Linked DNA regions of Saccharomyces cerevisiae S288C. The main gene of each other region encodes a partner of the protein of the gene in region 2 in a complex. Each region holds a gene or a part of one and is shown on either strand. Other genes may lie near its edges. A codon is read from its position in the direction of its gene.

Region 1 (3,665 bases), on a different chromosome or scaffold from region 2:
TGTTCAGCTAAATGGAAAGCTACAGATGCTATCTGATCGAGATATTGCAAGAAAAGGTCTCACAGTATTTTTTTCACGTGCTTTTTTTTCAAGGCAATGACCAATATGAAACGATCGATGAGCATAGTAAACAGTATTATCTGGATAATTCTGTATGCAATGGTAACGGATAACTTAAAATCTTTATGTTAAGTATATACAATTGCATCACTTTTTTTTTTTTGGCTTGTGGCTTATATTAACAAATTTATTGTGCATTTTTTGCAATCTGAAGGGCTGCTTTAATATTGAATACGGGAAGGGCCCTTTCACACCCCACTATAAGTGCAGTTTTAGGAAGAAAGTATTAATGTATCCTTCAAAAAAGAAAATACACGTGCTGTTAATATACCGACATCGTGTTTTGGGGAATGGGTACTAGAGCCGCCGATATCTATTCATATTTTTTATGTAGCAACATCTCATTTGAACAAGAATTTATTGACATAGAACTTTATACAAGTATGAAGAGAAATTAGAAATTAGCAGAGATGTGAAATGAACTTACTAATAAATCGGCGTGGTCATTGGTTCAGTTTTTCTTCGATATAGGATACATTAGGGACAGTGGATGTATTTCCTAGGGCAACCATTGAAACTGGTTTGTTTTGTAATCTGTAATTTGCCCACATAATAATATCATCCTTAGTGATTTTATCAACCTGCTCGAAAACTTCTTCTGGTGATAATCTTTTACCTGTGGTCACCACTTGTCTGCCTATATCTTCTACAATGGCTGTCGATCCATCCAACGATAGCAACAGAGCTGCCTTTAGCTGAGCTTTTGCCCTATTCACCTCTGCATCCGATATTTTGCCAGATTTTATTCTCTTCCACTCTTTCAGGATCTCATTAACAATTAACTGCACGTTATGCTCATTAGAATCAGTTACTATGTACATTCCCCACAGACCTGAATCAGCGTAAGAGGTGGAAAATGACATATAAGAATTAGCCAAAGAACCATTTTGACTTGCTGCAACAGCTAATGGAGAGGGGGAGTTTGTACCTGTGCCAATGGCTCTGTCCCAGTTACCAACAATCGCTTGTGTTGCCAGAGCTACAAAATAATCAGGTGCAGACCATGACACGCCTTCTAATGCGATAGCAATATGTGTTGTAGGTAACGTGTTTTCTTTGATAAACCTTTCACCTCTACAAAAAACTGGTAATGGGCCCCTTGGTGATCCCAACGGGACAGGCGATTCAGATTTGGGCACATGGCCAAAGTATTTTTGAGCATACTGTACCAATTTTTCATGATCAACAGCGCCCGCACCTGCCAATACCATTCTGTCGCCTTTATAGTTCTTGGTTATATAGTCTTTCAAATCAGTTCTTGTTATTGATTTTATGTTTTTTATAGGACCCAGAATGGTTCTTCCTAAAGGTTGGTCCTTATACGTAATCTCATGAAGATGGTCAAAAACAACTTCATCATACATCTTGTCCACCTCTTCACTTTCTCTGATGATGACATCCCTTTCTCTCTCAATAGCACTATTATCTAAAACTGACTTAGTCAAAATATCACTTAGAATATCAACAGCCTTTGGGATATCTTCTTGTAGGGACTTAGCATAATAAACTGTGTTTTCTCTTGATGTATATGCATTCAAATGAGATCCGATATTTTCAATTTCCAATTCAATTCCTTGTTGTGACCTATTCTGAGTACCCTTGAAAGCCAAGTGTTCTAGAAAATGCGCTGTACCATTGTTTTTTACGTTTTCTGCCCTAGAACCAGCATCGACAAATATTCCAACAGTAGCCGAAGATGTGTTGGGGATGTACTCTGTGGCAATTGTCAACCCATTAGGAAGTTTAGAGGTTCTGGTTCCTGGAATTTGTGAGGAAATTGTACTTAAAAGCCTCCGTGTATTACGGAACTTGGATGCTGTTCTTGAAAACATTGTATGATCACCTATCACTTTGCGCACTAGTTTGATGCCTGAGAGCAAGATATCATGATTTATCCATAGCGTTCAAATTCACTTCTTATTACTAAAGAGATGAGTCCAGCTCGATTACGAATATCACTAAATACGTGAAAATAATATTGGTCATCTAATCTGTGCACTGAACAGTAGTATCACCCATTGTTGGCTGAGAAATTAAGCTCAGCATTTTAGCTTTCCTCACTACGTGTTGAGGAATTTAATACGTAAATATAGTCTTAGTAAAGCCGTGCATTTTACTTCTTAACTCCTTTGGACGGGATCAAGTTTAAGGAGAATAAAACCCTGATTCGCACCTTCAACGCGGCTCTAACATGGTACTATCAGACTCTCACATCCAGATTGGAGTACCCTTATCCGAAGTAACGATTTTTTATTACGGTTTAAGATAATAAGGGACGCGTATGATAACTAAAAATCGTCAGTTGAAGGGCGCTGGCCATAGGTATCCCTTAATTTTGACGTCGAATTTCATAGAAGCAAACCTATATATTTTCAGTCCCCAGTGGACAGACCGTTTATCAGTTCTAATGAATCAGCAACGATTCTCAAAAAGGTTGCCCCAATTCTTAGGAAAGTAGGAATGTCATCGACTAAGTTTTTGAAACCACTCTGCAGAATAAGGGCTTTTCATACTTCAATTGCCAGATCCTTTACCATTCCTTTTCTGCCAAAGATTCCACAGAAACCTGGAGGTGTGAGTGGGACCGCAAATGATTCCTCTTATATGCCGCCCGAAAGCAGAGCTCAGGGTTCGTACCATTGGATTGTCGAGCGCGGACTGTCCTTAGCGGTTCTTCCGCTGATCGCAGTTCCCTTGGTCACTACAGGCCCTATTTCCACTTTTACCGACACATTTCTTTCCTTGGTCCTGCTAGGTCATTGTCATATCGGATTTCAGTCTTGCATTATAGACTATATTTCTGAAAGAGTCTATGGAAAGGTACATCATTACGCGATGTATTTATTGAGCTTGGGCTCCTTTTTATCGTTCGTCGGTATATATAAATTAGAGAGTCAAGAAGCTGGTCTTATTGCCTCTTTAAAATCATTATGGGATAACAAACCTGTGGAAAAAAAGAGGCAGTAATCATCAATTAATCAATATGGTTTGGTTAGTGGTGACTACCTTTTTTATTCTCGTTATATATGTGTATTAGAAATAATTTAATAACCGATTATTTATTGCTTATTTTACTGGTCCCAGTTTTCCAACAGGACTTCTTTTATGGGCAAAGTGAACTCACCCTCTTCATTGACGTATTTTCTTGACCAAAGTTGGCCAGTATTATTGTGTTCCATAGGTATCAAGTGCGTTTTAGTTTGCAGGCCAATTTTCGTTATTATGCACGCTGAATGCAACGCTATTTGGTCATTGAACAACTCTGGAAAATTGACAGTGCTGCCATGTCTCTTGTCGTTTAATATGGGCTGATTTAAAATTTGAGAGACGTGATTTCGAATCTGATGTTTTTTTCCTGTAACCAATTGTAAAACAATACAATTTTCGTCAACTTCTTTGAACTTAGTAATCTCCCTACCACCATGTGAAATCAAGAAATTATATTTAGGACCATATTTAATTTCATAGTTATTTGGTTTGTTGAAACGACCGGACGACTCGACAATAGCTACATACTTTCTTTGCAACTTATAACCGTTGTTGCC
Region 2 (3,012 bases):
ACCCCTATGGGTAGGGATTGTCATAGTGACCGTATGCTCCTTTTTAGTTGCCATTTTCGGTATCAAACAAGTCATTAAAGTGGAAACTTACTTATCCGTACCCGTCCTGACAGCATTTTTACTACTGTACATTTCATCAAGTGATAAATACAGCTTCGTCAATGCATACGTTTCAAAGGGAAATTTGGACTCTTCCACCCGAAAGGGCAACTGGATGAGTTTTTTTTCATTATGCTATAGTATTACGGCTACTTGGGGGTCTATTACAGCAGACTATTATATATTGTTCCCAGAAGATACACCATATATTCAAATTTTTTGCCTAACGTTTTTTGGAACATTTTTGCCTACCTGTTTCGTCGGAATCTTAGGTCTCTTACTAGCTTCTGTTGCCATGTCGTATAAGCCTTGGTCAGTCGAGTACGATTCCCATGGAATGGGTGGTCTACTTTGGGCAGGTTTTCAGCGTTGGAACGGCTTCGGAAAGTTCTGCGTGGTAGTACTGGTATTCAGTTTGGTATCCAACAACATCATCAATACGTATTCGGCAGCATTCTCCATCCAACTTTCTAGTGTGTTTTGTGCAAAAATCCCTCGCTGGTTCTGGTCTATTGTTTGTACTATAATTTGTTTGGTATGCGCATTAATAGGTCGTAATCATTTTAGTACTATTTTGGGAAATTTCCTACCAATGATAGGCTACTGGATTAGCATGTACTTTATCTTATTATTCGAAGAGAATTTAGTATTCAGAAGGTTTTTCTTACATTTGTACACCAAAGAGTTTCCTACAGTTACAGGAGAAATAAATGGACCGGAACTTGTTGGATCTTCAAAAGAAGTGGAGAAAGATGCAGTTACTAATATCCATTTGTTAAAAAGAAAACATAAGGTGACTAAACATCGTTACAATTGGGACAAATGGGAAGATTATGAGGTTTTAACGCACGGTTATGCAGCAACATTTGCGTTTATTGTAGGAGTTGCTGGTGTGGTAGTTGGTATGGCGCAAGCCTATTGGATTGGCCCAATTGCTGCCAAATTTGGTGAATATGGTGGTGATGTCGCAATGTGGTTAAGTATGGCGTTCTCAGGTGTTGTATACCCTCCTTGTAGATACTTAGAGCTACGTAAATTTGGTCGTTAATTGAAATGACATAAGTATATATTAAAACTACGGTGCAGCGGCAAACTTTAGTTTAGATAATATTGGCAGGTAGATTCATGGTATGTTAAATTACGCTCAGGGAGGATATTTTTTTGTACACATTATCTTTTCACATGAAAATCTAAGCCTGGTGGACAATTGAAATCATCGAGTGATATACTGACACTTTGAACAGTAGCACAAATCGTTTAATTTGCTGTCACGATCTAAGTTTTCTGTCAGCTGACTGTCCACCAATAAGATCAGCGGATTCCAAAGGCGTCCTTCGAAAAAGCGATATCTCCCATCTTGGTTAGTAGCAAATAAAGGGAAGAGAAAATAAGACACACTCAAGGATAAAATACTTCGCTTCTTCCAAGTATAAACACAGGAAAGAAAGATATACGAAGATTAGAATTTTTTTCATACTTTTTACAAAACATTTTTTTGTACTTAGGCACGCTAATTGCGTAAAAATTAGCATAAACAGGAAATAAGATTATTTTGAAATGTATGTTATAATCCTCTTATTGAAAAATACATGAGATGTAGGAGAAGAACTACCAGGAAAGAAGATATTTAACAGATCGAACGAAACGGAAAAGAACTAAGAGAAAACAAATCTGGATTTGACTTTAAGAAAAAATTTATTTGCAAGTTTAACTCGTTCCCTGCTTTTCTATTTGGCTTGAGACGATAATTGCATAATTGTCCAAATTGTCCATCATATAATGAAGAATTCGATGCGAAATATTCCCTGTCACTTTCCTTTAGTCAACGTATTCTTCTCCCTGAAGAAACAGTATACTAACAATACTCACCCATTTCGATTTTGATGTTGCCATACAAATAGATAACAAGCACAATGCTTTCACTACGTCAATCTATAAGATTTTTCAAGCCAGCCACAAGAACTTTGTGTAGCTCTAGATATCTGCTTCAGCAAAAACCCGTGGTGAAAACTGCCCAAAACTTAGCAGAAGTTAATGGTCCAGAAACTTTGATTGGTCCTGGTGCTAAAGAGGGTACCGTTCCAACAGACCTAGATCAAGAAACTGGTTTAGCTAGGTTAGAATTATTGGGTAAATTAGAGGGTATCGATGTTTTCGACACCAAACCATTAGATTCGTCCAGGAAGGGTACCATGAAAGATCCGATCATCATTGAATCTTATGATGATTATCGTTATGTCGGTTGTACGGGTTCTCCCGCTGGTTCACATACTATTATGTGGTTAAAACCAACTGTTAACGAAGTCGCCAGATGCTGGGAATGTGGTTCTGTTTACAAACTAAACCCTGTTGGTGTTCCAAATGATGACCACCATCACTAATCTTATCATTCAAGTTGCCCTTCTGTTTCTCTTTTACTTTTTACCTTCTTCTTTATTTATATTTTTTTTTTTGGAAACCTAGCGAATATTCTTACCAGGTCTGAGCTTTTACACACGTCATGTTAACAAAGTTCCACAAGAAAGTTCTTTGCAGGAAGGTTAAGGCGAACGCTTTGCTCTATCTATAATGAAGAGCCAAAAAATACATAACCAAAAAGATCGAGAAAAGGTCGAGATATATTTTTATTTAAAAATTCTTATTAATATTAGTACTATTCATGTCATAACTGATTACTATTTCTATCTCTGTCAGAGATGGCTAGCTAGAGGTTGTTGCGAAGTTACTTCCAAAAGATTCTAGACTGTGCTTACAGCATCCATACACCCACCCATACATACTGATTTCTTTTTTTAAAGACGTCGATTTTTCGAAAAAAGTAAATTCTCGGCACAGGGAGTTGAATTGAACTTCCCTGCCCCGACGGTAAGCAGCTTACCGGTATTGCTTCGTTCTCCTTGGGAGATGTTCTCG
Region 3 (4,590 bases), on a different chromosome or scaffold from region 2:
GGGCCCCGGAACTATTATTATTATTTTTATTTATTTATTATTAAAATATAATAATAAATAGTCCGGCCCGCCCCGCGGGGCGGACGCCGGAGGAGAATTATATTTTTATATAATAATTTATATTTCTATATATATATATATATATTATATATAAATATTATTATATATATTTTTATATATATTATAATTATATTCATTAATATTTTATTATAGTGGTGGGGTCCCAATTATTATTTTCAATAATAATTTATCATGGGACCCGGATATCTTCTTGTTTTTATTTATTATTTTATTAAATTTATTTTAATTATTTATTTATAATTTATATTATACAATTTATTATTTCGTTAATACCTTTATTTATATTATATAATATATTATATTATTATAATATATTTATTGATTATATTAATACATTTAACTAATGTGTGCTCTATATTTATTGAATAGTTTGGTTCTTATCACCCACCCCCTCCCCCTATTACGTCTCCGAGGTCCCGGTTTCGTAAGAAACCGGGACTTATATATTTAATACTAAAAATATAACTACATTACTTTTTTAATATATATAACAATATATATATATATATATATTAATTATATAAAATATAATACTCTATATTAAATATTATTTTTATCAATATTTATTTATATATATAATAATAATAATAATAATCAATATTAATTATTTATATATATAAGATTAATATTATTTAATATATTATGAATAATTTAATTAATAAATCTTTAAATATTATCATAAAAATATAAATTAAATAATTTCTTATTTATAATAAAGAATAATAATATATATAAATATAATAAAGAATGTAAATAATATATATATAATATAATATAATATAAAAAATATATATATATATAAATATATATATAATATATAGATAATAATATTTTTATATAATTTATTTTATTATTAAGTAATAAATAATAAAAAAATCAATATATTAAATAATATATTTATATTAGTTCGGTTTAGTTGGTATTTTGTAATGAGTAAAAAGTAATATATAATATTAAATAATAAGTATTGATATAAGTAATAGATATAATAATAATATTATTAATATTTTATATAAATAATATTAATAATATAGATTATGAAAGAGAGTATTAATATCATTAAATATATATATATGTTATATAATTTAAATGATTTTAATATATATATATATATTATATTATAGATTATGATACATTTATATAAATAATATATATATAAAAATTAATTATACTATTACTTTATAATATAATAATATTTATTTATAAAGATATAAAAGAATTGTTTAAAGTTATAACTAAAATATTATATAGTATTCATTAATAATTAATATTATAAATTCAACTATTGTTATATTTATAAATAGAATAATATATTATTATCCTTTAAGATATAACAATAATTATTTAAATTAAATTAAATTAAATTTAATTAATTTTTTTTTTTAATGAATATAATAATAATAATATTATTAAAATTAATATATAAAAAAAAAGTAAAAATGGTACAAAGATGATTATATTCAACAAATGCAAAAGATATTGCAGTATTATATTTTATGTTAGCTATTTTTAGTGGTATGGCAGGAACAGCAATGTCTTTAATCATTAGATTAGAATTAGCTGCACCTGGTTCACAATATTTACATGGTAATTCACAATTATTTAATGGTGCGCCTCTCAGTGCGTATATTTCGTTGATGCGTCTAGCATTAGTATTATGAATCATCAATAGATACTTAAAACATATGACTAACTCAGTAGGGGCTAACTTTACGGGGACAATAGCATGTCATAAAACACCTATGATTAGTGTAGGTGGAGTTAAGTGTTACATGGTTAGGTTAACGAACTTCTTACAAGTCTTTATCAGGATTACAATTTCCTCTTATCATTTGGATATAGTAAAACAAGTTTGATTATTTTACGTTGAGGTAATCAGATTATGATTCATTGTTTTAGATAGCACAGGCAGTGTGAAAAAGATGAAGGACCTAAATAACACAAAAGGAAATACGAAAAGTGAGGGATCAACTGAAAGAGGAAACTCTGGAGTTGACAGAGGTATAGTAGTACCGAATACTCAAATAAAAATGAGATTTTTAAATCAAGTTAGATACTATTCAGTAAATAATAATTTAAAAATAGGGAAGGATACCAATATTGAGTTATCAAAAGATACAAGTACTTCGGACTTGTTAGAATTTGAGAAATTAGTAATAGATAATATAAATGAGGAAAATATAAATAATAATTTATTAAGTATTATAAAAAACGTAGATATATTAATATTAGCATATAATAGAATTAAGAGTAAACCTGGTAATATAACTCCAGGTACAACATTAGAAACATTAGATGGTATAAATATAATATATTTAAATAAATTATCAAATGAATTAGGAACAGGTAAATTCAAATTTAAACCCATGAGAATAGTTAATATTCCTAAACCTAAAGGTGGTATAAGACCTTTAAGTGTAGGTAATCCAAGAGATAAAATTGTACAAGAAGTTATAAGAATAATTTTAGATACAATTTTTGATAAAAAGATATCAACACATTCACATGGTTTTAGAAAGAATATAAGTTGTCAAACAGCAATTTGAGAAGTTAGAAATATATTTGGTGGAAGTAATTGATTTATTGAAGTAGACTTAAAAAAATGTTTTGATACAATTTCTCATGATTTAATTATTAAAGAATTAAAAAGATATATTTCAGATAAAGGTTTTATTGATTTAGTATATAAATTATTAAGAGCTGGTTATATTGATGAGAAAGGAACTTATCATAAACCTATATTAGGTTTACCTCAAGGATCATTAATTAGTCCTATCTTATGTAATATTGTAATAACATTGGTAGATAATTGATTAGAAGATTATATTAATTTATATAATAAAGGTAAAGTTAAAAAACAACATCCTACATATAAAAAATTATCAAGAATAATTGCAAAAGCTAAAATATTTTCGACAAGATTAAAATTACATAAAGAAAGAGCTAAAGGCCCACTATTTATTTATAATGATCCTAATTTCAAGAGAATAAAATACGTTAGATATGCAGATGATATTTTAATTGGGGTATTAGGTTCAAAAAATGATTGTAAAATAATCAAAAGAGATTTAAACAATTTTTTAAATTCATTAGGTTTAACTATAAATGAAGAAAAAACTTTAATTACTTGTGCAACTGAACTACCAGCAAGATTTTTAGGTTATAATATTTCAATTACACCTTTAAAAAGAATACCTACAGTTACTAAACTAATTAGAGGTAAACTTATTAGAAGTAGAAATACAACTAGACCTATTATTAATGCACCAATTAGAGATATTATCAATAAATTAGCTACTAATGGATATTGTAAGCATAATAAAAATGGTAGAATAGGAGTGCCTACAAGAGTAGGTAGATGACTATATGAAGAACCTAGAACAATTATTAATAATTATAAAGCGTTAGGTAGAGGTATCTTAAATTATTATAAATTAGCTACTAATTATAAAAGATTAAGAGAAAGAATCTATTACGTATTATATTATTCATGTGTATTAACTTTAGCTAGTAAATATAGATTAAAAACAATAAGTAAAACTATTAAAAAATTTGGTTATAATTTAAATATTATTGAAAATGATAAATTAATTGCCAATTTTCCAAGAAATACTTTTGATAATATCAAAAAAATTGAAAATCATGGTATATTTATATATATATCAGAAGCTAAAGTAACTGATCCTTTTGAATATATCGATTCAATTAAATATATATTACCTACAGCTAAAGCTAATTTTAATAAACCTTGTAGTATTTGTAATTCAACTATTGATGTAGAAATACATCATGTTAAACAATTACATAGAGGTATATTAAAAGCACTTAAAGATTATATTCTAGGTAGAATAATTACCATAAACAGAAAACAAATTCCATTATGTAAACAATGTCATATTAAAACACATAAAAATAAATTTAAAAATATAGGACCTGGTATATAAAATCTATTATTAATGATACTCAATATGGAAAGCCGTATGATGGGAAACTATCACGTACGGTTTGGGAAAGGCTCTTTAACACGTGGCAACATAGGTTAATTTGCTATTTCATTTTTAGTAGTTGGTCATGCTGTATTAATGATTTTCTGTGCGCCGTTTCGCTTAATTTATCACTGTATTGAAGTGTTAATTGATAAACATATCTCTGTTTATTCAATTAATGAAAACTTTACCGTATCATTTTGGTTCTGATTATTAGTAGTAACATACATAGTATTTAGATACGTAAACCATATGGCTTACCCAGTTGGGGCCAACTCAACGGGGACAATAGCATGCCATAAAAGCGCTGGAGTAAAACAGCCAGCGCAAGGTAAGAACTGTCCGATGGCTAGGTTAACGAATTCCTGTAAAGAATGTTTAGGGTTCTCATTAACTCCTTCCCACTTGGGGATTGTGATTCATGCTTATGTATTGGAAGAAGAGGTACACGAGTTAACCAAAAATGAATCATTAGCTTTAAGTAAAAGTTGACATTTGGAGGGCTGTACGAGTTCAAATGGAA
Region 4 (3,149 bases), on a different chromosome or scaffold from region 2:
ATATTTATAATATATTAATATTTCTCCTTTCGGGGTTCCGGCTCCCGTGGCCGGGCCCCGGAACTATATAATATTTAATAATAATCAAATAAAAAATATTTTTTATAAAATAATATTAATAATATATATATATATATGAATTTATATATTAGTTAAATTAATAATATTTATATTATATTATATCATATTAAAAAAGTCCCGCTGGAGGTGAGGCGGTGACCTCGAAGGAATATAAAAATATAAATAATTACATTATTATATTATATTATATTAATATTATATTTTTTTTTTTATAAATATTAAATAAATTTATTAATTATCTTTATAAAAGGTAAATGAAAAAAGAGTATAATGATTATATTATTATTAGTTCCCGCTTCGCGGGAACCCCGTTAGGAGTTTTGAAGGAATAATATATAATAATTATATTTGTAAGAATATTATTATAATAATATAAAATATATATATATAAATTATAATATATTAATTATTGTTAATTATTAATAATATATATATTAATCATTTAGATATATAATTCTATAGCCTTAGACTCCTCATCAGTAGAAGACTACGTATAAAAATAATCAGATAACATCTAAAACATGTAGATAAATAATAGTTGTTTCATATCCAACATGATGTCCAGCTGTTAAATGATAATTTCTCATTCTTCAATAATTAACACCTAACATAGCTGCTAACATTACCATATGTAAGAAATGTAATCCTGTACCAGCATAGAATACTGAACCATAAACACCATCAGAGATAGTGAATGCAGCATTAGTATATTCAATATATTGACAAGTAACAAAAATAACAATTAATCAGAATGTAATTAATAAACCTGATAAGGCTTTATTTCTATTACCTGCGATTAAGGCATGATGACTATAAGTTACAGTAGCACCAGAAGATAATAAGATAATAGTATTTAATAAAGGTAATTCGGTAGGTTGTACAGCTTCAATACCTACGGGTGGTCAACATGCACCTAATAGTACATCAGGACTCATAGCTGAATGGAAATAAGCTCAGAATAAACCAGCAAAGATTAATACTTCAGATAATACAAACATTAAGAAACCTAAATTAATACCTTTTCTTACTGCTATAGTATGATCACCTAAATATGTAGCTTCAGCTACAATATCTCTAAATCATAAAATAGAACTTGTTAATAATACAAATAATGCTAAATATACCATATTCATATTACCAATATAACCATGCATTGTTAATGCTAGTGATAATGCTAATGATAATAATGCAAATGATACTACAATAGGTCATGGTGAAGGCATAACCATATGAAATGGATGTTGTTGATGTCTACTTCTTTCTAAATGTGTCATAAATTTATTGTTATATATATATTATATATATAATATAATTAAATAAATAAATAAAAAAAATATTAATAAAATATTATCCCTTAAACTATATAATAAAATTAAATAATAATATTAATTTAATAAATCTTTTATTTAATAATAATATAAATTATATTAAATATTTATAATAATATATTATTTATAAAATTATAAAATAAATTTATATATAATTCAATATATATATATTAATTTATATATTTAAATTAAATATAATTAAATAAATAATATAATCGAATTAATATCTCTTTCGACCGGATTATTTATTCAATTATTAATAATATAAATAATTAATTTGTATTGAATATAATTTATTTAAATATTTTATTATTATTATTATTATTATTATTAATTTATTAATATTAAAGGAAATATATTTATTATATTATATTATATATATTTTTTATTATTTATATTTATTATTAATATAAATCATTGATAATATCTTCTTTTTATTTATTTATTATTATAATTAAAAAAGAATCTTATATTAATTAATATTATTTATTTTTTTTTTATTTAATAAATAAATATTATTATATTAAGATAGATATAATATTATATCTAGATTTAGGAAATATAGGGTTCGAACCTATAATCTTTCGTGTGTAAAACGAATGCTATACCAATTAAGCTAATCTCCTTTATAAAATATATACTCCACAGATATATATCCAAAACTCTTATTAATTATTATAATTATTATTTTATTTATTTATATATATATAATTATAATAATTCATATAATTATTATAATCTTATAAATATTCCTATTGAAAATTATACTTTATAATTAAATTTATTAATAATTATTTAATTTAATATATAAAATATTTATTTATATATATATTTATATATATATATATATTTTTATAAGTAGTATATTATATTTTATATATAATAATATTTATAATATATATATTATAAATTATATATAATATATTATATATTTATTTAATAATTTTTATATAATTAATATATTATATATTTAATAAATTTTATATAATTAATAAGGTAAATATAATTTAATGGTAAAATGTATGTTTTTAGGTGCATATTATCTAAGTTCAAATCTTAGTATTTACAAAATAAAAAATTAATATAAATTTATTATAATCATTTATAAATTTATTATAATATTATTATTATATTTATTTATTATTAATAATTATTTATTATTTATTATATAATATTTTTATAATTATATATTAAATATATATAAATTTTATTATAATAAAACTCCTTCTTAAATAGGGGTTCGGTTCCCATGGGGTCCCTCACTCCTTACGGGGTTCCCGCAAAGCGGGAACTAATAATAATATATATTTTTATATATATATTAATATATATATATATTTATAACTCCTTTATTGATATTTATTCTTATTTAGAATATTTTTAATTAAATAATATAATTAAATGAATACCAAACTTATATTATATTTATATTTATATTTATATTTCTCCTACCGGGGTTCCGGCTCCCGTGGCCGGGCCCCGGAACTAAATATATAAACTTTTTTTTATAATATTATATTTATTAAAATATTAATAAATAAATAAATAAGAGATATAATATATATTTTCTTTGTATTAAATATATTATATATATATATATTAATTATTATAATATATTTATTATAAATTAATTATTAATTAATATATTATTATTATTGCCCTTAATGAGAATCGAACTACATGTAAATAAATCTTCAATTTATCGCTTTACCACTAAGCTATAAAAGCTATATATAATAT

The links.
Region 1: the proteins of COX4 (region 2) and MAS1 are in contact, whole or in part, in a crystal structure (PDB 1HR8), measured with the Saccharomyces cerevisiae proteins. Residues at the interface, in NP_011328.1 of Saccharomyces cerevisiae: Ile8 (codon at 2,034), Arg9 (codon at 2,037), Phe10 (codon at 2,040), Phe11 (codon at 2,043), Lys12 (codon at 2,046), Pro13 (codon at 2,049), Ala14 (codon at 2,052), Thr15 (codon at 2,055), Arg16 (codon at 2,058), Thr17 (codon at 2,061), Leu18 (codon at 2,064), Cys19 (codon at 2,067); in NP_013264.1 of Saccharomyces cerevisiae: His70 (codon at 1,745), His74 (codon at 1,733), Phe77 (codon at 1,724), Asn100 (codon at 1,655), Ala101 (codon at 1,652), Tyr102 (codon at 1,649), Thr103 (codon at 1,646), Ser104 (codon at 1,643), Arg105 (codon at 1,640), Glu150 (codon at 1,505), Val154 (codon at 1,493), Glu160 (codon at 1,475), Ile180 (codon at 1,415), Leu181 (codon at 1,412), Trp277 (codon at 1,124), Tyr282 (codon at 1,109), Leu286 (codon at 1,097), Gln289 (codon at 1,088), Ala290 (codon at 1,085), Asn294 (codon at 1,073), Gly302 (codon at 1,049), Met324 (codon at 983), Ser327 (codon at 974), Thr328 (codon at 971), Ser329 (codon at 968), Gln379 (codon at 818), Leu380 (codon at 815).
Region 3: the proteins of COX4 (region 2) and COX1 are in contact, whole or in part, in a cryo-EM structure (PDB 6T0B), measured with the Saccharomyces cerevisiae proteins. Residues at the interface, in NP_011328.1 of Saccharomyces cerevisiae: Asp82 (codon at 2,256), Thr83 (codon at 2,259), Lys84 (codon at 2,262), Pro85 (codon at 2,265), Leu86 (codon at 2,268), Ser102 (codon at 2,316), Tyr103 (codon at 2,319), Asp104 (codon at 2,322), Tyr106 (codon at 2,328), Arg107 (codon at 2,331), Tyr108 (codon at 2,334), Val109 (codon at 2,337), Gly110 (codon at 2,340), Cys111 (codon at 2,343), Thr112 (codon at 2,346), Ala116 (codon at 2,358), Thr120 (codon at 2,370), Ile121 (codon at 2,373), Met122 (codon at 2,376), Trp123 (codon at 2,379), Leu124 (codon at 2,382), Lys125 (codon at 2,385), Arg133 (codon at 2,409), Cys134 (codon at 2,412), Trp135 (codon at 2,415); in NP_009305.1 of Saccharomyces cerevisiae: Thr174, Asn175, Gly176, Met177, Pro266, Asp496, Glu499, Leu506, Asn507, Val509, Lys510, Ser511, Ser512, Ser513, Ile514, Leu517, Leu518, Thr519, His525, Phe527, Asn528, Thr529, Pro530, Ala531, Val532, Gln533, Ser534.
Region 4: the proteins of COX4 (region 2) and COX3 are in contact, whole or in part, in a cryo-EM structure (PDB 7Z10), measured with the Saccharomyces cerevisiae proteins. Residues at the interface, in NP_011328.1 of Saccharomyces cerevisiae: Leu37 (codon at 2,121), Val40 (codon at 2,130), Asn41 (codon at 2,133), Gly42 (codon at 2,136), Pro43 (codon at 2,139), Glu53 (codon at 2,169), Gly54 (codon at 2,172), Thr55 (codon at 2,175), Val56 (codon at 2,178), Pro57 (codon at 2,181), Asp59 (codon at 2,187), Gln62 (codon at 2,196), Glu63 (codon at 2,199), Thr64 (codon at 2,202), Gly65 (codon at 2,205), Leu66 (codon at 2,208), Ala67 (codon at 2,211), Leu69 (codon at 2,217), Glu70 (codon at 2,220), Val80 (codon at 2,250), Phe81 (codon at 2,253), Asp82 (codon at 2,256), Tyr103 (codon at 2,319), Val146 (codon at 2,448), Gly147 (codon at 2,451), Val148 (codon at 2,454); in NP_009328.1 of Saccharomyces cerevisiae: Met1 (codon at 1,355), His3 (codon at 1,349), Leu4 (codon at 1,346), Glu5 (codon at 1,343), Arg6 (codon at 1,340), Ser7 (codon at 1,337), Arg8 (codon at 1,334), His9 (codon at 1,331), Gln10 (codon at 1,328), Gln11 (codon at 1,325), His12 (codon at 1,322), Pro13 (codon at 1,319), Thr74 (codon at 1,136), Tyr75 (codon at 1,133), Leu76 (codon at 1,130), Gly77 (codon at 1,127), His79 (codon at 1,121), Thr80 (codon at 1,118), Met81, Leu159 (codon at 881), Gly162 (codon at 872), Arg164 (codon at 866), Tyr233 (codon at 659), Leu235 (codon at 653), Thr236 (codon at 650), Ala237 (codon at 647), Gly238 (codon at 644), His239 (codon at 641).

The regions. Positions count from the first base shown.
Region 1 is NC_001144.5:491,303-494,967, forward strand, and holds MAS1 (mitochondrial processing peptidase), read right to left. Parts: upstream 1,953-3,665; coding exon 564-1,952; downstream 1-563. Other genes in the region: protein SHH4, read left to right, coding at 2,581-3,087; pseudouridine synthase PUS5, read right to left, coding at 3,192-3,665. UniProt on the Saccharomyces cerevisiae protein: Catalytic subunit of the essential mitochondrial processing protease (MPP), which cleaves the mitochondrial sequence off newly imported precursors proteins. Preferentially, cleaves after an arginine at position P2.
Region 2 is NC_001139.9:149,172-152,183, reverse strand, and holds COX4 (cytochrome c oxidase subunit IV), read left to right. Parts: upstream 1-2,012; coding exon 2,013-2,480; downstream 2,481-3,012. Other genes in the region: TPN1 (Tpn1p), read left to right, coding at 1-1,147. UniProt on the Saccharomyces cerevisiae protein: Component of the cytochrome c oxidase, the last enzyme in the mitochondrial electron transport chain which drives oxidative phosphorylation.
Region 3 is NC_001224.1:12,298-16,887, forward strand, and holds the start of COX1 (cytochrome c oxidase subunit 1), read left to right. Parts: upstream 1-1,520; coding exon 1,521-1,689; coding exon of another isoform or gene 1,690-4,025; intron 4,026-4,137; coding exon 4,138-4,173; coding exon of another isoform or gene 4,174-4,590. Other genes in the region: intron-encoded reverse transcriptase aI2, read left to right, coding at 1,521-1,689, 4,138-4,590; AI5_ALPHA (intron-encoded DNA endonuclease aI5 alpha), read left to right, coding at 1,521-1,689, 4,138-4,173; intron-encoded DNA endonuclease aI4, read left to right, coding at 1,521-1,689, 4,138-4,173; intron-encoded DNA endonuclease aI3, read left to right, coding at 1,521-1,689, 4,138-4,173; intron-encoded reverse transcriptase aI1, read left to right, coding at 1,521-4,025. UniProt on the Saccharomyces cerevisiae protein: Component of the cytochrome c oxidase, the last enzyme in the mitochondrial electron transport chain which drives oxidative phosphorylation.
Region 4 is NC_001224.1:77,419-80,567, reverse strand, and holds COX3 (cytochrome c oxidase subunit 3), read right to left. Parts: upstream 1,356-3,149; coding exon 546-1,355; downstream 1-545. UniProt on the Saccharomyces cerevisiae protein: Component of the cytochrome c oxidase, the last enzyme in the mitochondrial electron transport chain which drives oxidative phosphorylation.